Regions from separate parts of the Mus musculus genome. Here all the other regions are reported to be linked to region 5. The links are microRNA targets in miRTarBase. Many come from high-throughput screens and were not tested one by one. Region 5 holds a microRNA gene; each other region holds the end of a gene's coding sequence.
What was found. The annotated mature microRNA mmu-miR-466q reads GUGCACACACACACAUACGU and lies in region 5 at 1,269-1,288, shown strand. An mRNA with a match to its seed (bases 2 to 7 or 8) in the 3' UTR can be bound and repressed. Matches are read on the target gene's strand: a 7mer-m8 pairs with bases 2 to 8, a 7mer-A1 pairs with bases 2 to 7 and ends in A, and an 8mer does both.

Region 1 (4,058 bases), not on the chromosome of region 5:
TGTATATATATATTTTTTTTATTTTGAAATATTTGTATAGACTTTCTACTTTCTATTAGATTTGAGAGTATTTCAGATTTTGGAATTAGGGTTATTCAATCCGTTACCAGGTAAAACTCACAAAACTAGTGTACTGTGAGTGATCACTGTTCATTTGAAAATTCACTTGGTACTTAATTTATACTCTTTCCTTTGGTCTCCTATTTGCTCTAGGTGTCAACTCTGCCCGCTCAGTTCCTCCTTCCTACCCACCACCACAGGACCCGTTAAACCAGGGCCAGTACCTGGTCCCCGATGGCATCGCTCAGTCTCAAGTGTTTGAGTTCACTGAACCGAAACGCAGCCAGTCACCATTCTGGCAAAACTTCAGTAGGTTAACCCCCTTCAAAAAATAATACCTATAGGAAGGCAGATAATTTTAAAATAAATAAAATTATATTTATAGATGGACCTTTTTTTCGGAGAAGCACTGTTGAAAATTTATATATATATATATATATAAAATGTGTGTGTGTGAGAGAGAGTGAGTGTGTGTGTGTGCGTGTGTGTGCACACATACATGCACACACACACACGCACACATAGACCTTTACGTATACACGTGTGTGTGTGGGCATGTGTGCACATATGCATGCACATGCATGCACACATACATACATATACACACACAGAGAAGGACCAAAACCATTTTCTGTTGTTTTGGGGAGTTGAAATCTGTAGTTGGTAAGAAGTACCACTGATTTCCAAACATGTAATCACTTCTTCAAATTTTTAGTTCTTAACCTTGTTTCCTCCCCCTTACTCTCTGTTATTTTTCCTGTTAAGATAACTTATTCGCTCCTCTAGTTCACTGACCTGTCATTATTACCATAGAGTATTTGCATTGTTTTATTTCCCTTTCCTTATGATACTGACGCTGATAACTTTTGAATTGAATTTATGTAGTGGGTTTGGGATTTCATTTCTCTCCCTGTCACTTTCCACTGAGAAGGGGAGGATTCCCGTCTCCTGTTCCTCATGCACCCATCTGCAAATGTTCCTGTAGCCCTGCAGTTATACCAACAGCCTCTTCCCAGCATCCTGTGTCCACAATTGTGCCAGTCTATACATGCTCTGTTGTGCCCTGTGACTTATCTGCTTGGTATTTCTATTGCTTTCACTGTTTTAGGTATTGTGGAAGGATATAAAACCAAACAGAAACAAAGGAGTGAACGAATGTAATGAGAGTCGAGAAGATTTCTGTTAGGGGGATAGTTTTTATTTAGGTGATTTCTTCCCATATAACAGCAATGCTAAGCCATTGAAAGTTTCCACCTAAGAATTAGTTTGGGTCCATTAGTCTCTTTTCCAAGCCTCTTTTGTTATGGATCTCCTTTTCAGTCTATCTCTTCCCTAGGCAAAAGGTTTAACTAAACTAGTAGCAAAGAAATTGAGACTTTGCATCCTGGGGAAGAGATTTATCTCCACCCCATAACTCATAGATGGTAGGTAGGTGTCAGGCAGGGCTCTCTTTATAGTGTTCTGGTAACCCCTGCTTCTGTTTTCAGATTCATAAGGCATCATTGTTAGTAGTTTATGGAGGCGTTCAAGAGAAAAACCTGCTTGGCCAAGAGCATTAGCCACCTTCAGATTAACCTGAAAAGAGTTCAAGGTTGACAACAGCATCTTATAGAGACCATCAGGAAAAGAGAGAGGCTTGATCTAAGATAATATACCAGTAATTTGCATCACTGAAATTATAAGAAACATCCCCAATTGTTAGCAGATTGCATGGATAATCTCTGTCTCCTTTTTTTGCCCTTACTGTCTTTCAGGTAGAGGATTGCGAGTATGGGATAGTTAGAGCCATTATGGCACTCAAAGCAGGCTTTGTTCCAGACAGACTCCCATCCCAGGACAACTGAGGCAAGTGGTAGAGAAGCCTAGGGCTACTTTTACATCTGGGGGAAAAGAAAAGATCTGAGGTAGAACACTGAAGTTATTTCTTGGCAGGGTTTCCATTTGACCAGAATGTTTCCCACAAAAATCAGAATCCTCATGAGTACAAGAGTGCTTATTCTTTGTCATTTAGCCCTTTCTATGGCTAGAGATTGGAGCAAGAACAATAGAATATAAAGAAGTGTGAAAACCCACCCTATCCAGGAATCTGGAGATTGTGTCTGTCCTGGACCTCACAAGAAAATACTTCATTATAAAAAAAAAAGATCTAAGCTTACCAAGTAGCAACCATAGCTGTATGAGGTCTTCAAAAAAGCTGAATTTGTACTTCTTGACCTAGATTAAGCCCTACCCCTGAGAATCTTTCCCCTCTGAAAAACAAATTACACATTGTTGTCAGACTTTGTAGTTATCAAGGCTAACTAGCAGAATACCAGGGCTCGGGACTGGCTATCACTGCTCAGCATATGATAGAGCTACATAAGCCCTTATGGCAAGAAATCTGGCATCGAGCACATAGACTACAATGCTCTCCCTTGGCAAACTGAAATGTGTTTCACTTCCTATGCAGGCCTCCCTTATTGCACCTTCATTTCCTACTTTCTACCCATTCTCACTAGGCTTGGCCTTGGCAACTTTCTCCCAGGGTTAGGAGCACACCAGGAGGGCTTGTTTTGAAAGGTTTCTAGATCTATAGTATCTTTTGGCCAGACCTTCTCATTCTTTTCCCCTTTCTGAGTCCAACATTCAAGGCTCCCAGATCAGGGGTATTACCTCTCATCATCCTGTTTCTCCATCCAGTCCACTAACCTTACAAGATGTAGTAATTTGTGAAGGCACTACCAACTCCGCTCTCCTTGGATTGGAATGCCTGGCTCCACCCTCACACCTACAGCTCCAAATAGATCAGTGGCCAGTAGCCCAAAGGGAAACTCATCAATTCCCTGGACTCAGTAGCTGAACCTGCTGCAGCCCCACGGCCATATAATCCCCCCCAAAAATAACTCTATACTTCTCCTGTTTCTGCATGGCCCCAGACTCCCCTTTCCTCAACTCAATGAGGCCCGAACTTTCTTTCTCCAGTTTTGTGAGTTTGTTCTATGAGTTCTATTATAGGGAGGTCCTAAATACAGAAATACAATTTTTCTCTCCTTCTCTCATCCACTTTCTATGTGTATATCTTTAATTGATCTATTAAGGACAGCAGCAAGAGAGTTCTAACAATTCTAGTATGAAGCCAAATAGTGCTATTTTAGTGCTTTGGGGGTGGGGCGGGCTGGGTGACTAGATGGGCAACAGTGATTTTGACCCCTGCTGCTCTGCATTTGCCGGCTTATTCTTTTGTTTCTATTATCCGACTGTTTGACCCTGTCAAACAAGTGTCAAAATTGTGTATTTGGAAATGTTTAACAACAACAACAACAAAAAAGATGTTGTAATGACATAAAGCCTTATGAAAATATTTATGGAGTTCAATAAAAGAAGTAAAAAAGAATTTCAGGCACAGTTGTGCCATTTGTGTATGTGTGTGTGTGTGTGTGTGTGTGTGTGTGTGTGTGTGTGTGTGGCCAATTGCAAAATAAAGGCAATTTGTGTGCTGTGAGACTACTTGCTCTAACTATCTTGAGTTTCTTATCCTGCTGTTTCATTTCCAAAGTATTCCAAGGGATATTGGGAAACATTTTCTATCATTTCTGGAAGAGTAAAAGAACAGTGTTTGTACTCAAAGCCTGTAGCCATGAGTAGTTAAAATATTTTTATAGGTAGGACTTTCTTTCATTTTACCTGGTACTTTGCTAAAACCTAGTGGCCTGTTCCCGATCTTGTTCATTTCTCTTGTGTGTACAGGTCCAAAATACAACCTGGGTATTTGTGACAGTTTTAACACTGCATTTTAAATGTACCATAACACTTAGGAATCTCCCACTCCAGGTTCCCTCTTAAAACTTGTGGGCTTGACTCCTTAAAAGTAGACTTTAATTGTCCATGTGTGGACACAGTGACCTTATTATTTTCTTTATTATGTATAGTCTGTGTACACAAATACTTTGCCTTCCACTAGGCCTGCACATGCCATGTAATGTTGCCGGTCACAGTCCAAATGAATAAGAATGTCTCAT
Region 2 (4,058 bases), not on the chromosome of region 5:
TCTAGAATGTTCCCTGCAGTAGAGCTGAGGCCTGATAGAGGGAACCTTGGAGCAGTGAGGCAATGCAGAGGAGCAGCCAGGACCACTCAGGGGGCTTTTGTTCTTCACCACGAGTAGAAAACCTACTTTTCCTAAGGAAACATCTGTGGTTGGTTCAAAAATGTTCCCTTGCCAAGCAGCTGTGACGTTAGGGGTTAGGGAGGGCAGAGAGAGAGAGAGACGTGCCATATGCCAGTCTGTGGGGGCACCTAGGCCACACCCTGCTGTGTCACCAGTGTAGCAGCTTTTGGTACAGAAACAAACAAACAAAAAAAGACAAAACGCAAACAGCGCTGGGCCATGGTAGCATGTAGGCCATCACCCCAGAAATTCAGGAAGCTGAGGCAAGAGGACTGGGAGTTCAAGGCCAGCCTGGGCAGCTTTGTGAGTCCCATCTCAAGTTTAAAAAATCAAAATGGCTGGGAGTACAGCCAGTGGTAGAGCACTGGCCTAGTAGCTCACCTTGCAGGACAGACCCAAACAAACAAAACCCAAAACAAAACAATCTAGAGCCCAACAAGCAGGTGGGTGCAAGACCCACCCTGAGTTCATGAGAACTCCCAAGATGAAAGGGGGCATTAAATGGGGAGCAGGACTGAAGCAGCAGGCAGAAGGCCTCTGTTCTCTGCCCCGCCCACCCGGCCCAGCAAGCCAAAGTCCCTGTCAGAGGGCCTGCTCTGAAGGGAAGTGGTGTCTGCAGTGGCAATCTTTGGAACAGCTTGACTTATCCTTTTTAATATTGCTTCTAAGCAGAGGTATTCTGGGAGACCGGAGGTGAGGATATAGGTGGCCGCTCTGTTCCCCCTGACCTAGCCTCGGGGTACCCTGTGGCCATTTGTGGTGACTTTGCCTCTCCTGGCCAGGATGTGATGTTTCCCACACATGAGGGACCTTTCACTAGAGCTGAGACGCCACCCCTTTCTGACTTATTCTAAGCAGGCACTGTGCAGTTCGGATGGGGAGGGAGGGACTGGGCGAGCAATGTCACGTGGGTGTTATGAAATTTGAGGATTTTGAGGAAGAACAGGAACAATCCACCCGTTTCTCTCTATGGGGAAGGGTTTCTTCTTACATTTCACTGACCTTTAACCCCCACCTTACACTGTTTTACCACTGCCCAAGGGGTTCCTTTGTCTATAAAGGCTTCACATCTGTTCCTGAATTGTTCCCCCAACCCAGGGCTTAGTGGGGTGCTCCAGGGTTGCCAGCCATGGGCCACACAGTGCGTGGACATGGCCCTCCTGGCTCAGAGCTTGTGGGAGCACGCTCTGGTGCCAGCTTCTGCCCAGCAGATGACCAAACCCACTCCGCAGAGCAGCAGCACTAGTCTAGCCTCCTTGTAGCTCAGGCTGTCCAACCAGGCCGTCAGGCCGTGTACCGGGACAGTGTGTGTTCTCTCTCTCTCTCCATACCCTTCCACGCCCCTGTTAATGGTGAAGATCTGCCTCAGAGCACGGAGCCCACGTTTCAGGAACTGGGACAGCAACCTGCTCATGACCATCCACAATCTTAATCTGCCTTGGAGGGTGACCATGGACAGCCCTGGAGTAAAGGGTGATGGAGGGAAAGATCAGCAGCTGGCACCAACGTCCCTTGTCACCTCAGCCCACTACGCAACTCAGATCTCCACCCCATTCGTTCTTCCCTAACCCCAGGCTCACACCAGGCACACAGAGAGAAGTTCATGCCAGGTACCAAGGGAAGATGTGAGACAGAGCCAGCCCTCTGCCCCCTCTGAGGGGAAACCCCTCCCCCAGCCACCATCACACCAGCCCCACTTCTCTGAACCTTTCCAGGCAATAGGCAGGAGACCTCCAAAACACTGGCTTGAAGCCGAGTACTACAGAAATGACTGGCTGGGGAGCTTGGGAGATAGCTCAAGAGAGGAGGCAGGTGCTCCGCCCTGGTCCCTGATGTGTGGGGGGCACTGGTGGCTTCAATGGCAGCAGCCATACATCGGAGCTTGGACTTATCCATCCCGGTCATCTGCTCTCCTGTGACCACAGCCTCCAGGTCTGGAGTCCCTTCCAGCAAAGGCAGCTTGTCCAGCCTGCTCTCTGCCCACAGGGCCCTTGGGCCTCTTCTGACCGGCACCAGGCAGAGAAGGCGGCTGACTGGTGGGTGGTTTGATACCAACGACAGGGCCTGGGGCTCTGTCCAAGTTGTTGCCAGCTGCTTACCGACCACCCTCTAGGAGGACCAACACTGAGTTTCTGGCTGCTTTGGAGTTTCCTGTCGCACAGCCCCCATGACTGCTTCTATAAAATCAACTCTCATTCTCACAGAGAGAAACATTTGATGGCTCCTGCTCACGAGACTTGGTGTGGTGTATGTTAAAGTGCTGTTGGTCACTTGTCCGGCATGCAAAGGGACCTTCCCCGGGCGTCCAAGTCCTCAGCTGACACCCACGCTTTGGTTCTTGCTGCACTGTACTCAAACTTGGCACCGACTGCTGTCCGGAGAGGTAGTTTCCTTTCCAGAGGATAACGGTCAGGTAGAAAAGAGGGTTTCCATTTTCAAACTGGACAGGGTTCTCAGTTAACTGGAATGGGGGTGGGGTGGGTGGGGGAGGAGACGGTGTGAGCAGATCACCGCCCAGATCCTCTGCTGTCTTCCTGCCGCATACCACCCACCATCCATCATCCTCCTGCTGAGCAAGTGGCTGACCGACTTCCCTTGCAGCTGGCTCAGGCTTCCCTGGAGATCCGTTTGTAGCTTGCAGCTCTCGACTCATTCAGTGCTGTGGGCACTGGCCCTGGGCTGACTTTCAACCCAGAGCTCTTTGATCCATCAATGTGGGAGCCGCCCATCCTTCTTGGAGTTATCAGGGAGAGCGGCATGTTCACCAGGGCCTGGTGTGGTCGAGCGCAGGGCCTGGTGTTGCTTGGCTGCCTACAAAAGGGAACCTCAGAGACACATGGTCTGCTCTGTGTGTCTCAGGTTGGAGATGAGCCCAGATTCCATATTTAGCTGAAAGAAATATTTAGGGTCCAAAGCCAAAGCAGATCTCCCTGACCCCAGTTAATGCCACAGTCTCTGTCACTTTTGGGGAGAGGGCTCTGTATCCTAGCCTGTGGCTGGGAAGTTCTTGCCATTCTGTTTTCTGGTCTATTCCCGGATCAGTCACAAATAGGAAATCCGTGGACCCACTCTCAGAGAGAGGAGCCTGGGTTTGCACTGTGCTTCTGTCCAGGCCTGGGGCTCAGGCTCTTGTTGTGGGCGCTGCCTGGGATCCATTCCTGAGGAGCTGGGCTAGATAGACCTTCTCCCCCAAGAACTGGGGAGAGGCGATGGCATGAGAGAGGGGTAAATAAACACACAGAACCCCCAGATTCATACAATCAAGTTGTCTGTACGTGTTTATGTGTTTGTTTCAAACCATGGGAGGACAGGAGATAAAAAGGAAACTGTCCGAGTGCGGCGGCCACCCACATGAGGGCTGCAGGCTGTGATGGGCTTTTCCACTCGGTCCTTGAATGTAGCTGCTGGCCACTAGGGCTCCTGTGGCGTGAGTTTCACTCCACCTTCCTGCAGGCGACACTTCACTCGCCGGTCCCCGGGCCCTGAGGGCCGGTGGCTGCCATAGCTGTGGGCTGTGTGGTGGCTGTCCCACCGGGTTCCTCTACCCGGGACCTCTTGACCTCGGGCTCTCCGCTAGAAGAGGCAGATGTGGTAGTGGAGGCGGCTGGGGTTGGCGCTGCATTAGCGGCTACTGAGACGGCTGCTGCTGGCTCCTCAGGCCCCACCTCACACACCCGGGTGATGACCACTGGAGTGGATGAACTTGCCTGGGCTGCCAGGAGCTGCAGGGGGCTGCTGAGGGCTGGCGGTAGGAAGAAGAGGTTACTTAAGGGTCATCACTATTTGACCACTAACTGACCCGAGCAGCAAAGCCAGAGCCACAGTTCTTTCTCTGCCCGTTCCTCACACAGACTCCTTCTCCCCGCCGACAGCAAGTTTGAGTCAGACACCCAACACCCGACTCCACTCAGGGCCCTTTTCTTTGCTGCCTCTGTCAC
Region 3 (4,058 bases), not on the chromosome of region 5:
AGAGTCAGGAATAGTGGGGGAAATTTTCCACTTGAAGGGTGCTGCATTTTCCTGATGTGTTCTGTCCATTGTGTTTAGAGAAGCTGCCCGAGAGTGCCGCCGGAAGAAGAAGGAGTACGTGAAGTGCCTGGAGAACCGTGTTGCTGTTCTGGAAAATCAAAATAAAACTCTAATAGAGGAGCTAAAGACTTTGAAGGACCTTTATTCTCATAAAAGTGTTTGATTCTTTAAAGAGAAAGTATTTTTTGTGGACTTTAAAGCTTAAAAATTAGGTGGATTTCTTTTTAGTGGAGTTCTATAAATTCAAAGGTCAAAGAAGCTACTTTGTATTAGGTTTTCACAAACAGACATGATGGAGGGAGAATGGAGATGACCTGCAGGAAGCTACTGTCTCAATTGGAAGCTCCGAAAAGATAGAGTGCTCAAGGAATGGACTTTCAGCAGTTTAAATAGAAATAATGGTCAGCAACGAAAATGGCAGGCGACGTTAGTGAAGCAGTCCGTTCCTGCTACGTCTGTATTTCTCTGTTCCCTAAAACTTGCCTTTGTGTGTGTGCGCGCGTGTGTGTGTGTGTGTGTGTGTGTGTGTGTGTGTGTGTGTGTGTGTGTGTGTGTGTGTGCGTGCGTGCCTCATTTCTGCCAATAAATTTACAAATGTAAAAGCATAAAGCGTTACTAAGTATGTAAATTATGTGGTCTGATTGTGTCGTAATGTCAGGTATGTTAAATGAGTTTTTAGCAGTTAGTTTGGTTGGACTCGATTGGTTTGGAGATCTCCTAAATGGCGTGGAGACACATCAGCCTGTGGTGGAGGTGGTTTGTGACTTTGCTTTGTCAGAATGGAAAGAGAACTGTCTGCAAGTTTGACAGTTTAATAGTTTGTTTTTTGCTTCCTCTGATAAGGGCAAGTACATAATAGATTGGTTTTGTTTTTTTTGTTTTTTGATTCTCTAATCCTGTGTGCAGTTGAAGATCATTCTCTTGCGCTTTAACAGAATGAAGTGTTTACAAAGGCCCTCAAATGTTTTAAATAACCTGAATATGCACACCAAAGCTTTCCTGAGGGGTTTTATAATCATCTTACCGTAAGGTTTGTCAGGTTCTAAAACAGTTACTGAGGCAATCTTACATTGAGACTATTGTGTAATGTAGCCCATGGTACCTTTATAAAAGAAGTGACTGCCGATATATTTTTATAGTGAATCTTTATAAATTCTAATGTTGAGTTTTTAATGATTATTTTAAATGTTTATATAGTTTGTTTAGCAAAAAAAATTTTGTATCTCAAAGTATCATTTTTATATTATGAGAAGAGTAAAATTTTCAAATTGGCTGATAATTGAATTGTATGTTTTATATAAAGTTTTATCTAAAGTTTCAGCTGTGGTCAGTACACCAGCATTTAACCTCTGTATTCTAATCTGTGTTCACTTGGAAACTGCAGAACTGTTGTGTACCTACAGAGTATGTTTCATATTGTCTGTGAAATTAAAAAACATTTGATAAGATTAAGTTTTCGGAATGCAAAACATGTTTGATATAACAACTGCCAAGCCCACCAGCAGCCACTGTGTGAGATACTCACTGAGGAATTTTTAGCCTTAAAGTGCAGCCAGATTCTAAGCCTGGGGTCTGAGTGTGCTTTTCAGTAGGGTGCACTTGTGCTCTGATTCAGGAAGAACCAGTTAGAGTGAACAGGGAAGTTGCTGTTCTGTGGAGCCCTGGGACCTCACACCAGTGGTCAGTCACCTCGTCAGTCTGCAGTGGACCCCAAGGAGGGTTCATCAGTTGGAGCACAAAGGCTATTCCTTACTTTCATTTAATTGGTTGCCCATCAGCCTACGTGATCAGGGTGTTCCACATTCCCCTGTCCTTTGTAAGCCAGTGTAGCCACATGTAAGGCTTCTCAGGTCAGTTCCATTTTGTTCTTTCTGTGTTGAACCTCACACTTGGCCAGACCAGCACTCTACAGTGAAGCAGCTTCCCAGGCCAGTAAATGATTTTGTGATGATTTTTAAGCAAAGAGGAAGAATAGGTAGGCATTCCTTGCTCACGGAATGGTAGATAGATGCATTCTGACTTAGAATTGTCAGTGAGTTGCGGTGATGGTGGTTCACATTCCCAGGAAGTGCCACAAAGAAGCGGGGTATGGTGACGCACGCCTTTATTTAATCCCAGCACTTGGGAGGCAGAGGCAGGTGAATTTCTGAGTTCGAGGCCAGCCTGGTCTACAGAGTGAGTTCCAGGATAGCCAGGGCTACACAGAGAAACCCTGTCTTGAAAAACAAACAAACAAACAAAAAAAAAAGTGCCACAAAGTTAGCACCAGAGAGTAATGCCTGAGGGCTAAGGAGGCAGTCAGGACGCAGAGCAGATCTAAACAAGTAATACGCTATAAAGTAAGACTTGGTCTCACTCTAACGCACATGCAAGGCACTCTGTCCACCAGGCTAAAGAGTCCAGGGCATAAAAGCTGGGATTGAAGCAGTGGTTAACCCACTGTAGCGTGTGGTGCACACCTGGGATCTCAGTTGAGACCAAGAGCCTGAAACAGGAGGACCAAGAATTTAAGACCAGGCTGGGTGTGGCGACACACACTTTTTAATTGTATGTGCATTGGTGTTTCGCCTGTGCATCTGTCTGTCTGAGGATGTCAGAATCCTCTGGGACCAGAGTTACAGACAAGTTGTGAGCTGCCGTGTGGGTGCTGGAAGTTGATCTGGGTCCTCTGGAAGAGCAGCCAGTGCTCGTAACAGCTGAGCCATCTCTCTAGCAAGATGACTTACACCTTTAATGTCAGCACCCAGGAGGAAGAGCAAGGTAGATCTCTGAGTTCAAGGCCAGGCTGGTCTACAAAGCACATTCTAGGATAGCCAGGGCTACATAGAGAAGAAACCCTATCTGAAAAAGAGTTTGAGCCTGTTACTTGAGGCCACACATCTCAAATGAGTTTAACCATTCAGTAAACCATTAACCCCATGAATTGCATCTCCAGAGCTGAAGGAAAAGGCTGACTCCCAAAAGTTGTCCTCTGACCACAGCCATCTGGCATGCACCTGCATTCACACACATCCACAGACAGTATTAAATTTATTTTAAAAAACAGAGCAATCCTACCTTCACCCTGGTACATACCTTTAGTAAACTCCAGTGAGGCACTTCTTTTATAGCTCCATCAAGAAAATTCTTCATGGGGCTGGAGAGATGGCTCAGTGGTTAAGAACACTGACTGCTCTTCCAGAGGTCCTGAGTTCAGTTCCCAGCAGCCACATGGTGGCTCACAGCCATCTGTAGTGAGATCCAATGCCCTCTTACTTCTGTAAGTATAGCTACAGTGTACTCACATATAATAAAATCTTTTTTAAAAATTAAAAGGATTCCTCATGTTTGATAAAGGTGTGAATACAAATTCATGTAGATACAGAAAAACATGATACTCTCCCTGAAGCTACACAGTAAATAACAAAAGTGATGTTAAATTCTAGGTTGGGTCAAACCCAAAATGGGTGTTCTTGGTCATTCCAAATGTGTCTTCTCACCAATGGTTTGGAGCTAGAAAGGCTTTTGAGAAAAAAAAAAAAAGCAGAAAGGTTCTGGTCCTTGTCTGAAAATAGTTTAAAAACCTAGTAGGTAAGATTTTTAAAGGTTCTATTTAAGTGTGTCCACTAGGTGGCAACTCTCCTTTAAAATCACACTCTACAAACCTAAACACTAGTATGTAGAAGATAATACAGACCATGGGGTGGCTCAGCCGGTAAAGGCACTTGTGCCAGGCCTGACATCGCAAGTATGGTCACACAGTGGAAGGATGAAATGAACTCCCAGAAGTTCTCTGACTCTTACATGTGCATCGTGTCATGCATGTATGCACAAGAACATATGAAAATGTCATAAAGCAGGAAAAGTGTGTACTACCCAGGACAGGTGACACGAAGAGGAGAATGCATACAGGAGGCCCCACAGACCCTTTCTTAGGATTTCTTCCCCACAGGGAGGCAGCTACTTGAGTTTAGTGTGCCTATGCAATGTGTGTATGTTCACTACATATATTCATAGAG
Region 4 (4,058 bases), not on the chromosome of region 5:
GCCGTTTCTGGCAGTCTCCAGCCTTTGTTCACCAAAAGCTTTGACACCCTGTGGAATGGGGCTCCAGTGGACAAATTTATTTTTAAAGGGACATAAAGCTGGAATAATGTGACAGTAGAGGCTGAGACATCCTGACACTGAGTGCACAACATAGAAGAACCTGGTGGGTGCCTCACCCTAACCTGCAGTTAACCAGTTTTCTTGTCTTGACCCCTTTTCTCTCAGCAACTCCGAAGTCAAGCCAGAGCCCTGATTACCTTTGCTGGGATGATACCGTACCGGACGTCGGGGGACACTAATGCCAGGCTGGTGCAGATGGAGGTCCTCATGAATTAAGCGCTGTGTTTGATGGGGTCTGGGACTGCACACTGTCAGTATATTAGGCACGTGGGCCAGCTGGGGTGGGTTTCCAGTTTTGTTTCTGTTGTGTTGTGTTTTGTTTTTTGTATTATGTATTTTTGTCAATACCAATAAATTTCTTTGATTTGTATTTCTTTTAAACATTCTTTTTCCTTTTTTTTTTCCTTTAAAATTTTAGGTTGTTTTCTTGTTTTGGGGTGTGTGTGTGTGTGTGTGTGTGTGTGTGTGTGTGTGTATTTACTTGGGAAATGTTGTCCACAGTTGTTTTGGGGCCAGAGAATGAGAGGCTACATAGGTGTGTAAATCTGGACAATGTGACTTTAAATGATTAAAAAAAATTACCCACCATGAGCAAGGAATCAAAGCCTTTGGATGTCATAGTCCATATAGCAGAATCACTGTGCTTTTCCACAAGTGTAGTTGAGTGTGAAGCCAGCTTTGGTTGGTGTAAGATCTGTGGGTGGAATACCAAGTGCTGCTGTTCTCTGGAGTAGTCTTTGAGGTCATCTAGCCTCACACCAGCCCTCATTCCTCAGCCAAGATCCCAGGAGATTAATCTGCTGGTGTACGTTCCAGAGACGGGTCAGAGCATGGGCGTGGAACTGCTGGAATAGAAGCAGTGCAAGTACCCAGCTCACAGTGTAGAGTGGGTGAGCCCATCCACTCCTCTGCTCTTCAGAAAGCAAGCTCATGGGCTCATCCTGCATGTCTCAGTACAGGAACCATTTGATACCTGCATTCGGAGTATTTGATCCCTGAACAGTAGTTGTCATGTTACTGACCCTACTTCTTCCACAGGACCAGTAGCCCTGAGCTAAACTAGAAAGATCAAAATGAGCATTTGCTCCTGAGCCAACCAGTTGAGCAAGGTCTGCCCCTCAGGAACACATTTTCTCACAGGTTCTCCAAAAAGGATTTTGTTCTAGGGAGAACTCTCTTACCACAGGATAGTCACTTCCATTTCTTGTCCTTTGGGAAAGGGCTAATGGATCAATAATGGGCACAGATTTCATGATCCATAAAAGGAATTACTTGAGGATCCTCCAGGTCATGTTCTATCTTCCTTTTCTTTGGTCTGATCTTGTTAGCAGGACCCAAACCTGAGCTTTACTATGAAGTCACAGAAGGCAAGCCCTGTAGGTGTATCTGAGCAAGGTGTAGCTCATGTCTGTGCCCCAGGAGCTGACATGATGTAATGAGAGTACTCCAGATTTTCATAGCATGTAACTAACTTTATTTCTTTTTCTTTTTCTAAGATTTATTTATTTAATGTATATGAATACACCATTGCTCTCTTAAGACACACCAGAAGAGGGCATCAGACCCCATTACAGATGGTTGTGAGCCACCATGTGGTTGCTGGGAATTGAACTCAGGACCTCTGGAAGAGCAGTTGGTGCTCTTAATTGCTGAGCCATCTCTCTAGCCCCCTAACTTTATTCCTTAAATTGGCTTTTTTACCACAATTCAAGAAGATGGGAGTTGGTTGTAGCCTCTGTGGCTTGTCTCTTCTTCACCCTATGAGAGTCAGTTGTAGATTTGTGTTTGCTTTATGCAGTCTGGCTGCATATAGAACTGTACACATGTCCTGCCAGAAACCAGATGAGACGAAAAGCTAGTAGGGATGAAAAACAGCTGCTTGGATAGTGGTGTAGTCAGTGGCTAGCAGGTTAGGAGTTGGTTTAAGGAGACCTTTGTGGGAAGAATGAGGTACTGTTCGAGAAGAGTTAAACCTCCCACTTGCTCTATATGCTGATTCTGTGACTACATGTGGCATGCTGGGCTGGTGTATGTCCATTGACTGCGTGACTTTTGGGCAGATTATTAGCTTAATCCATCCATCTCCACTCATTTGTTCAGAGAACGAAATTCTTTCCTGATTCATTGTGATTTCATTGTTTACCTGGAGAAATAAGAAAATGCTCCTGGAGTCTCTTGTTTTCCAGGGCTGAGTCTCTAGTCTTGAACAAAATCAAGGGTATTTTGAGACAGAGCGGGTAAGAGGCTGCCTAAGGATCTCATAATTAACTCCTGGGGGACCCCATAGGGGAGGGAAGAGTTAAGAGACCCAGCACCTTTTCTGGGCCTGGAGATTTGATCTCATCTTCCCACTGTACCCCCCTCCCCATTATTTTTTTTCTTCCTGCTCATAAGTGAACTGCTAAGTAAAGTTGGGTAACTTCAAGTGAACAGTGAGGTAGAACCCGCATAGAGCCAGTCTTCTGGTTTTGCAGCTCCTGAGCTGGGAAGTTCATTGAAGAGCTGGAAGCTTCTTCACACTGGAGGCAGAAAGCAGACCCCACTCCTGCACCATGTAAACTCAGACTGGAGCCCAGAGGAGTTCCGTGGTTACTGCTGTGATGCTTTGGGATATTTTAAGCAAAGAATTGTGGGTCTTCCCACCTTAACCCAGTATTGCCTGATTTCAATAACAAAACAAAGGTGTGTTGGTTCTTGCTTTGGATTTCAGAACTGACTGTTCTAGTTGAATAAATGCTTACATGGTCCAAACCCTCAAAGTTAACTTAGCTGAATGTGCCAGCTCCTGCTGCCCTAGGCTCCACACCCATGTTTTTTCTTGGGCATCAGAGCCTCTGCTTGTAATTCATTGGATATTTCATGTATCTTGCCATGAGTCCATTCCTTCTATCCATGACATTCATGCCTGGAGCTTGCTGAATACTATGCTACAAATAGCCCCCAGACTGGCATGTTGCCCTGAGCAGGCTAAAGTGGTGTGGACTGATTGGCTACAGGGTGAGCTGAGTCATCCCTCAGGTAGGGCGATGGATGAAAACTCCAAGACTGAATACTGTTGCATACTTAGGGTAGTGTGGGTAGAGATGCAGCATTACTCTGGCATGCATTGTTCCTGGCTGCCTTTGCCCTTGAGCATCGGTTTCTTGGGCATGGTGCAGGTAAAAACACTGGCTATTGACATTCACTGGCTTATTGCAGTAAGAAGGGTATCCAGTTTCAGAGTCAATGATTGTAGCCTTCTGGGGGTCCCAGAAGACCTGGCCCAGCCTTTTAGTGGCAGGCCATGAGCTCCTTCACTGGGGACAGATTTAGCATATGAACACAGAGTCACCTCTGGGTGCAAATGACAGCATCAGTTGCAGTTTGTCTGGTGTGCCTTTGGCTCTGCATCCACTGGCACTCAGTAACTGGAAGCCTAGGGCCTGGTGCAGGCCGCCAGGAGCTTCGCAGCTACTTGGATAACCCTCCTTTGCTGCCATTCACACTTGAGAGGTAGCAAAAATGGCAGCCAGATGAGAAGGCCATAACTGGCCTTCAGGCAGGTTGACTGACTGGGACAATTGGGGGCCCCAGAGGGCCTTTATCCTGTCACCTGCCAGATGTTTGTCCATTGGGGCTTCAAATGCTGTGTATGCTAGAGGGGGGTTGCGGGGAAGGCAGGACACAGGCCTCACTTGAGTAATTTCTGTTGGTAATGTGGTGGGCAGATTCTCTCCTCTCCTCTTAGCCTTTCAGATGTCACTCGTGTTTGTGGGGAGGGAATGGTGGGCGAGTCGGTGTGTGCGTGGTCCTTTCCGTGCAGTAACTTGTGTGTTTGCTCTGTCCAGGACGCTTCCTTCACTCCACCCCTGTCTATCCAGTAAATGTTCTCCCAATGCGCCATGTGCTCCCTTTGCTCTGTTCTCCAGTGGAATGGGAGCTCCCTAGCTGAGGCTCCC
Region 5 (4,067 bases):
GGAACATGCTTCCTCGGGTGAGGGTTCTTAAGAAAAAAGATTGCTGGAAAGCGGGCACCAGAGTAGACAGAGACAGGCATGGGATGGGCTCCAGCTTCAGTTTTCTCTTTCAGTCTTGAACAAAGTACCGACCTCTTCTGAGCATCAGTATCTTCATCGAGAAGCCATGGGCAGCATGCATGCTTCTCATCTGATTAGAGAGTTGAGATGGAGATACATAGGGTGCTCCTGTGTGCAGCAGGACTCACTCATGACCTCGTTTCCTCTTCCCTTGTTTTTTACGAAGTCTGCAGAGAAGTGCCAGTGCCCAGATTAGTCAGTGAACGATGATAATGGCATGCTAATATTTATCCAGTGAAGCACTTTGCACAGAACTATTTGTATCATGTTTGTATAATTAGAGGAAACGCTTCTCATCATACATTATGATGTGAACTTTCCTTCCTAGGCTCCCGGTAATTAGATTTGGGTGAGGAAAAATTCCCCGAGTTGTAAAAATATACAAAAACTTTTCTCGAGTTTGCTTTGTGTTTTATATTTGTGACTAGAGTTTGCCATTTCTCTTTTTATTAGGTGCTCACCACAAGTATGTTAATGAGTGGAAGTAGTGGGTGAAAACTGGCGTTTGAGAGCCATGTTAGGTTTAAGCTGACATGAAATTCATATTTGGAGAAACAGAGTAGGATCCGAAGTGACTAGGTAGTATAAATGCTTCAGAAAGCCTCGGTATATTCCTTGAAGAAAATAGACAATTGGATACTTTTTGCTCTGGGCTGTGAAAACCCTTCTGAAGAATGTGGCATCTGGATTCTACTCAGCTGAGTCCACATGGGTATACTACTAGTAGACTTTACTACTATCTGGGGGGTAAGGTGGGGTTTGCAATAGGTGCAAATAAAACTTTATTGAAGTATTAAATGTATATATCACAAGAGAGTGCTTAACAGTGGGGTGGAGCAAAAAAAAAAGAGCTGAGAAATTTTCATGCAGAAAACTGAAGGAATTTAGTGAAATTCTTTATTTTTAACTCCTTCCCATGCTTGAAACAGGGGTCTCTAGTCTAGCCTGGTCTTGAACTCAGTCCTCCTGTCTTAACATCCTGGGTGTTGAGATTACAGGCAGTCACTACCATATTTATCTAAAGTCTACCTTAGGAAGACCCCTCTACTCCTGAAACAGTTTTAAAAATCTCCTTTATATTCTTATTACCTTCTCTTTAGTGTGTGTGTGTGTGTGTGTGTGTGTGTGTGTATGTGTGTGTAGTATATGTGCACACACACACATACGTACCCATGCATGCCATATCTCATCTCTGGAGATAATAGGACAACTCGTAGGAGTCAATTTTCTCCTTTACCCAGTAGTGCCCAGAGACTGATCTCAGGTTGTCAGGCTTGGCAGCAAGCACCCTTACCCTCTGAGCTGCCTTATAGGTGTGCTTTATATTCTTAATACTACTGAAGAGTGCAAGAACCGTATGTTTGGATGGATTGTCTACCAGCATTTATTATAGTGCCAATAAATGTGATTTCATTAAATACAATAAGGACTTTTTAAAGCACAATATTACTAATGCATAACACAATGTCCATTAGCCGCAGTGATGACATCATCTTGTGGCATGCAGCCTCTGGGAAACTCCACTGTACAACTGTGGGGCAAGAGCGAAAATAGCATTTGATGTCATTGTATTAATATATAAAAAGGGCTCCAGAGACTCAGAGGACCTCGGGCATCTCTGAGGACAATTGTAGTGGCTTGTAGTCACTAGAGAGGTCACGCTGATCTGTCCTTCCGTAACCCATCACTCCATTCCAGGATGAATGACATTATTCACAGGGTTAGAAATGAAGAAGGCAGAATTTCACAAGTGGCTCGTGGCCGAGATTTGGTACTGCAGGAGCACAAGAAGAACTACAACAACAGAAGCATTTCATTTGCCATCACTGTGTATCTTTGCATAAGTATTTTTTGCACAAGTTAGGTTAGATCTACATCAAATGAAAAGAGTGGATGTATTTTAGTCAAACTGTGTTAGGAACTTCTGGCCTATAATAGCAGCCAAACATGGGATGTGTGTGCAACCTCCAAACTGGGAAACACTTAAGAGGTGTTTCCTTGAGCTCCTGGCTTGCTTGGCTAGGGCAAATATGACGAGGAGCCTACCAGGTGCTCTGCTCAGAGCTGCAATGGGGAAAACCCCATCCAAACGACAGCAGAGCACACTCAGCTAGTAACAGCTAGCTCTCATTAGCCCCTCACCCGATACAATTAACAGAAAAGAATGAAAGACAGAATAAGCTTAGGAAACAGGTAAAGGGTGGTTTAAGTATGGTCTTAATTCTTTTGAGACAACCATCCCTCCTCTCTCTCTCTCTCTCTCCTCTCCCTTTTTTCCCTTTAATGTGATGTATTTATTTTTATTTCATGTGTATGGCTGTTTTACCTGCATACATGTCTGTGCATCATTTGTGTGCTAGGTGACTGTGGGTGGGAGTCAGTCTCAGTCTATCTAGATTTACAGATGGGCTGAGCTATCATACTGGTGCTAGGAACCAGATTAGTGTCTTCTGTAGGAACAGTGTGTGCTTTTAATTCTGAGCCATCCTGCTAGCCCCACAAGTGCCCCCTTTAAAGCAAACATCTGAGAGTGGCCACAGATCCTTTGAATATTTTCCCTAAATTCACACTGGAGGAGCCACCTTAAAACACAAAGTCTCCTGCCAAGTCTCTCCTCTGGATTGGCCCTGCTGGATTGGTCTAGTCAGTTCCCATCACCATTGGCTAAGACATCTGGCCACTAGGACGCAGAGCACACAAACATTGTCTTTGCAAAAGCTCAGTCAGCGTTGCTGGGACGCACCTTCACCCTGACCACCAGGAGCTTATTTCCCCCATTGATTTGTCTTTCCAGTTTCCTGTGGCTTTAGATCTTTTCTTTTACTCTTTAATGAAAATCCACACGAATGAGACCTTTTGCTTCTAAAATGCTAAGTTGTTGTTATTGTTTTTTGGGGGGTTGCGTGGGGGGATTTTCATTGTTTAGAATTTGTCCTGATGCTCAAGAGATTCACTGTTGGTCACCCAAATGAAAGGCTGTCGCTTCGGTGGTCTAGAACTCGTTTTTTTGTTTTACTTGCCTCTCACACTTGCAGATCTGTGATCTTGAAGCCAGAGAAAGAATTCCACACAGATTCCCAAACATAACATTCTTTCTGACAGGCAAATAATTCCTCAGGTTTTCAGCTGTTGCTGTCTGCCTTGTGTGGCTTTTGCTTTCTGATGTGGTCGAGCTATGCCTTTATGGTATGGAGAAAGGATGGCAGCTGAATAGTGTGTGCTATGTAGCCAGTCATTATGTTAACGATGCGTGCTTTAGCTAACTGTGCTCCCTCTGCTGGGAATCTACTATTTGTTAGTGTCATCTTGGGTCTCTTTCTCAACTAGAGCTTGCTCATGGCTCCCTCCATCCTTCTTAGCCTCATCATCTGGACTCCGACATTCTCACTGTCAAGTGGTCTTGCCATTGGCATCTGTAAACCTAACAGCAGACATTTCCCTGATATTACGTAATTCTTTTCTATCTGGGATTATGTCACATTCCTGAAGACATCCCAGGCAGAACACCTTGTTTCCATCTATTCACATCTCACCTCCATCTCCCTCTAGAGTTTGATCCCACATGGTGCAGCTTGCCCCAGCCCCCTGTTAGGGCAGTCATCACCCAGTGATGGGCTTCCTGCCCAGCTGTCTGTATATACCCACCACACACTGGAAAGCTCTTCCTTGCCATAATCTGTCTTCCTAACTCCCCATCATCTGCAAAGGAAGGTGTTGCCCTTTTTCTGAGGAAGTAGGCCAGGAGTGGTACCTTTCTTATGTCATCAGGAAGCTCAGGTTAAACCATGTAGGTACTTACCCATACACAAGAGCTTTCAGAATGATTTCTTACAACGTGAAATTGTGTTCTTGACAAACTGGAGATATCAGGAGGAAAATGTGTGAGACGAAAAATGTGTGCCCAGGTCTAAGCTGTACATTTGGAGGTTATATCCAGTAATGCCATG

Region 1: miRTarBase lists Arhgef9 as a target of mmu-miR-466q. Seed matches in the 3' UTR shown: 7mer-m8 at 546-552 and 7mer-m8 at 618-624.
Region 2: the mRNA of Foxk1 is a reported target of mmu-miR-466q. The part of its 3' UTR that is shown has no 7-base or 8-base seed match.
Region 3: the mRNA of Atf1 is a reported target of mmu-miR-466q. Seed matches in the 3' UTR shown: 7mer-m8 at 959-965.
Region 4: miRTarBase lists Nup93 as a target of mmu-miR-466q. The part of its 3' UTR that is shown has no 7-base or 8-base seed match.

The regions. Positions count from the first base shown.
Region 1 is chrX:95,048,310-95,052,367 of GRCm38, reverse strand. It overlaps Arhgef9 (CDC42 guanine nucleotide exchange factor (GEF) 9), which reads left to right. Exons shown (of 10, transcript NM_001290385.1): 10 at 214-3,433. The coding sequence ends at 395. Among named protein-coding and RNA genes, the nearest start is that of Spin4, 24 kb to the right of the region's middle.
Region 2 is chr5:142,456,280-142,460,337 of GRCm38, reverse strand. Foxk1 (forkhead box K1) reads right to left here. Exons shown (of 9, transcript NM_199068.2): 9 at 1-3,862. The coding sequence ends at 3,582. Among named protein-coding and RNA genes, the nearest start is that of Ap5z1, 5.6 kb to the left of the region's middle.
Region 3 is chr15:100,259,737-100,263,794 of GRCm38, forward strand. It overlaps Atf1 (activating transcription factor 1), which reads left to right. Exons shown (of 7, transcript NM_007497.3): 7 at 79-1,512. The coding sequence ends at 223. Among named protein-coding and RNA genes, the nearest start is that of Tmprss12, 19 kb to the right of the region's middle.
Region 4 is chr8:94,314,360-94,318,417 of GRCm38, forward strand. Nup93 (nucleoporin 93) reads left to right here. Exons shown (of 22, transcript NM_001357266.1): 22 at 226-707. The coding sequence ends at 336. Among named protein-coding and RNA genes, the nearest start is that of Mir138-2, 7.9 kb to the right of the region's middle.
Region 5 is chr3:28,418,720-28,422,786 of GRCm38, forward strand. Mir466q (microRNA 466q) reads left to right here and starts at 1,224; the gene lies at 1,224-1,299. All of the region lies in intron 2 of Tnik (TRAF2 and NCK interacting kinase), which reads left to right.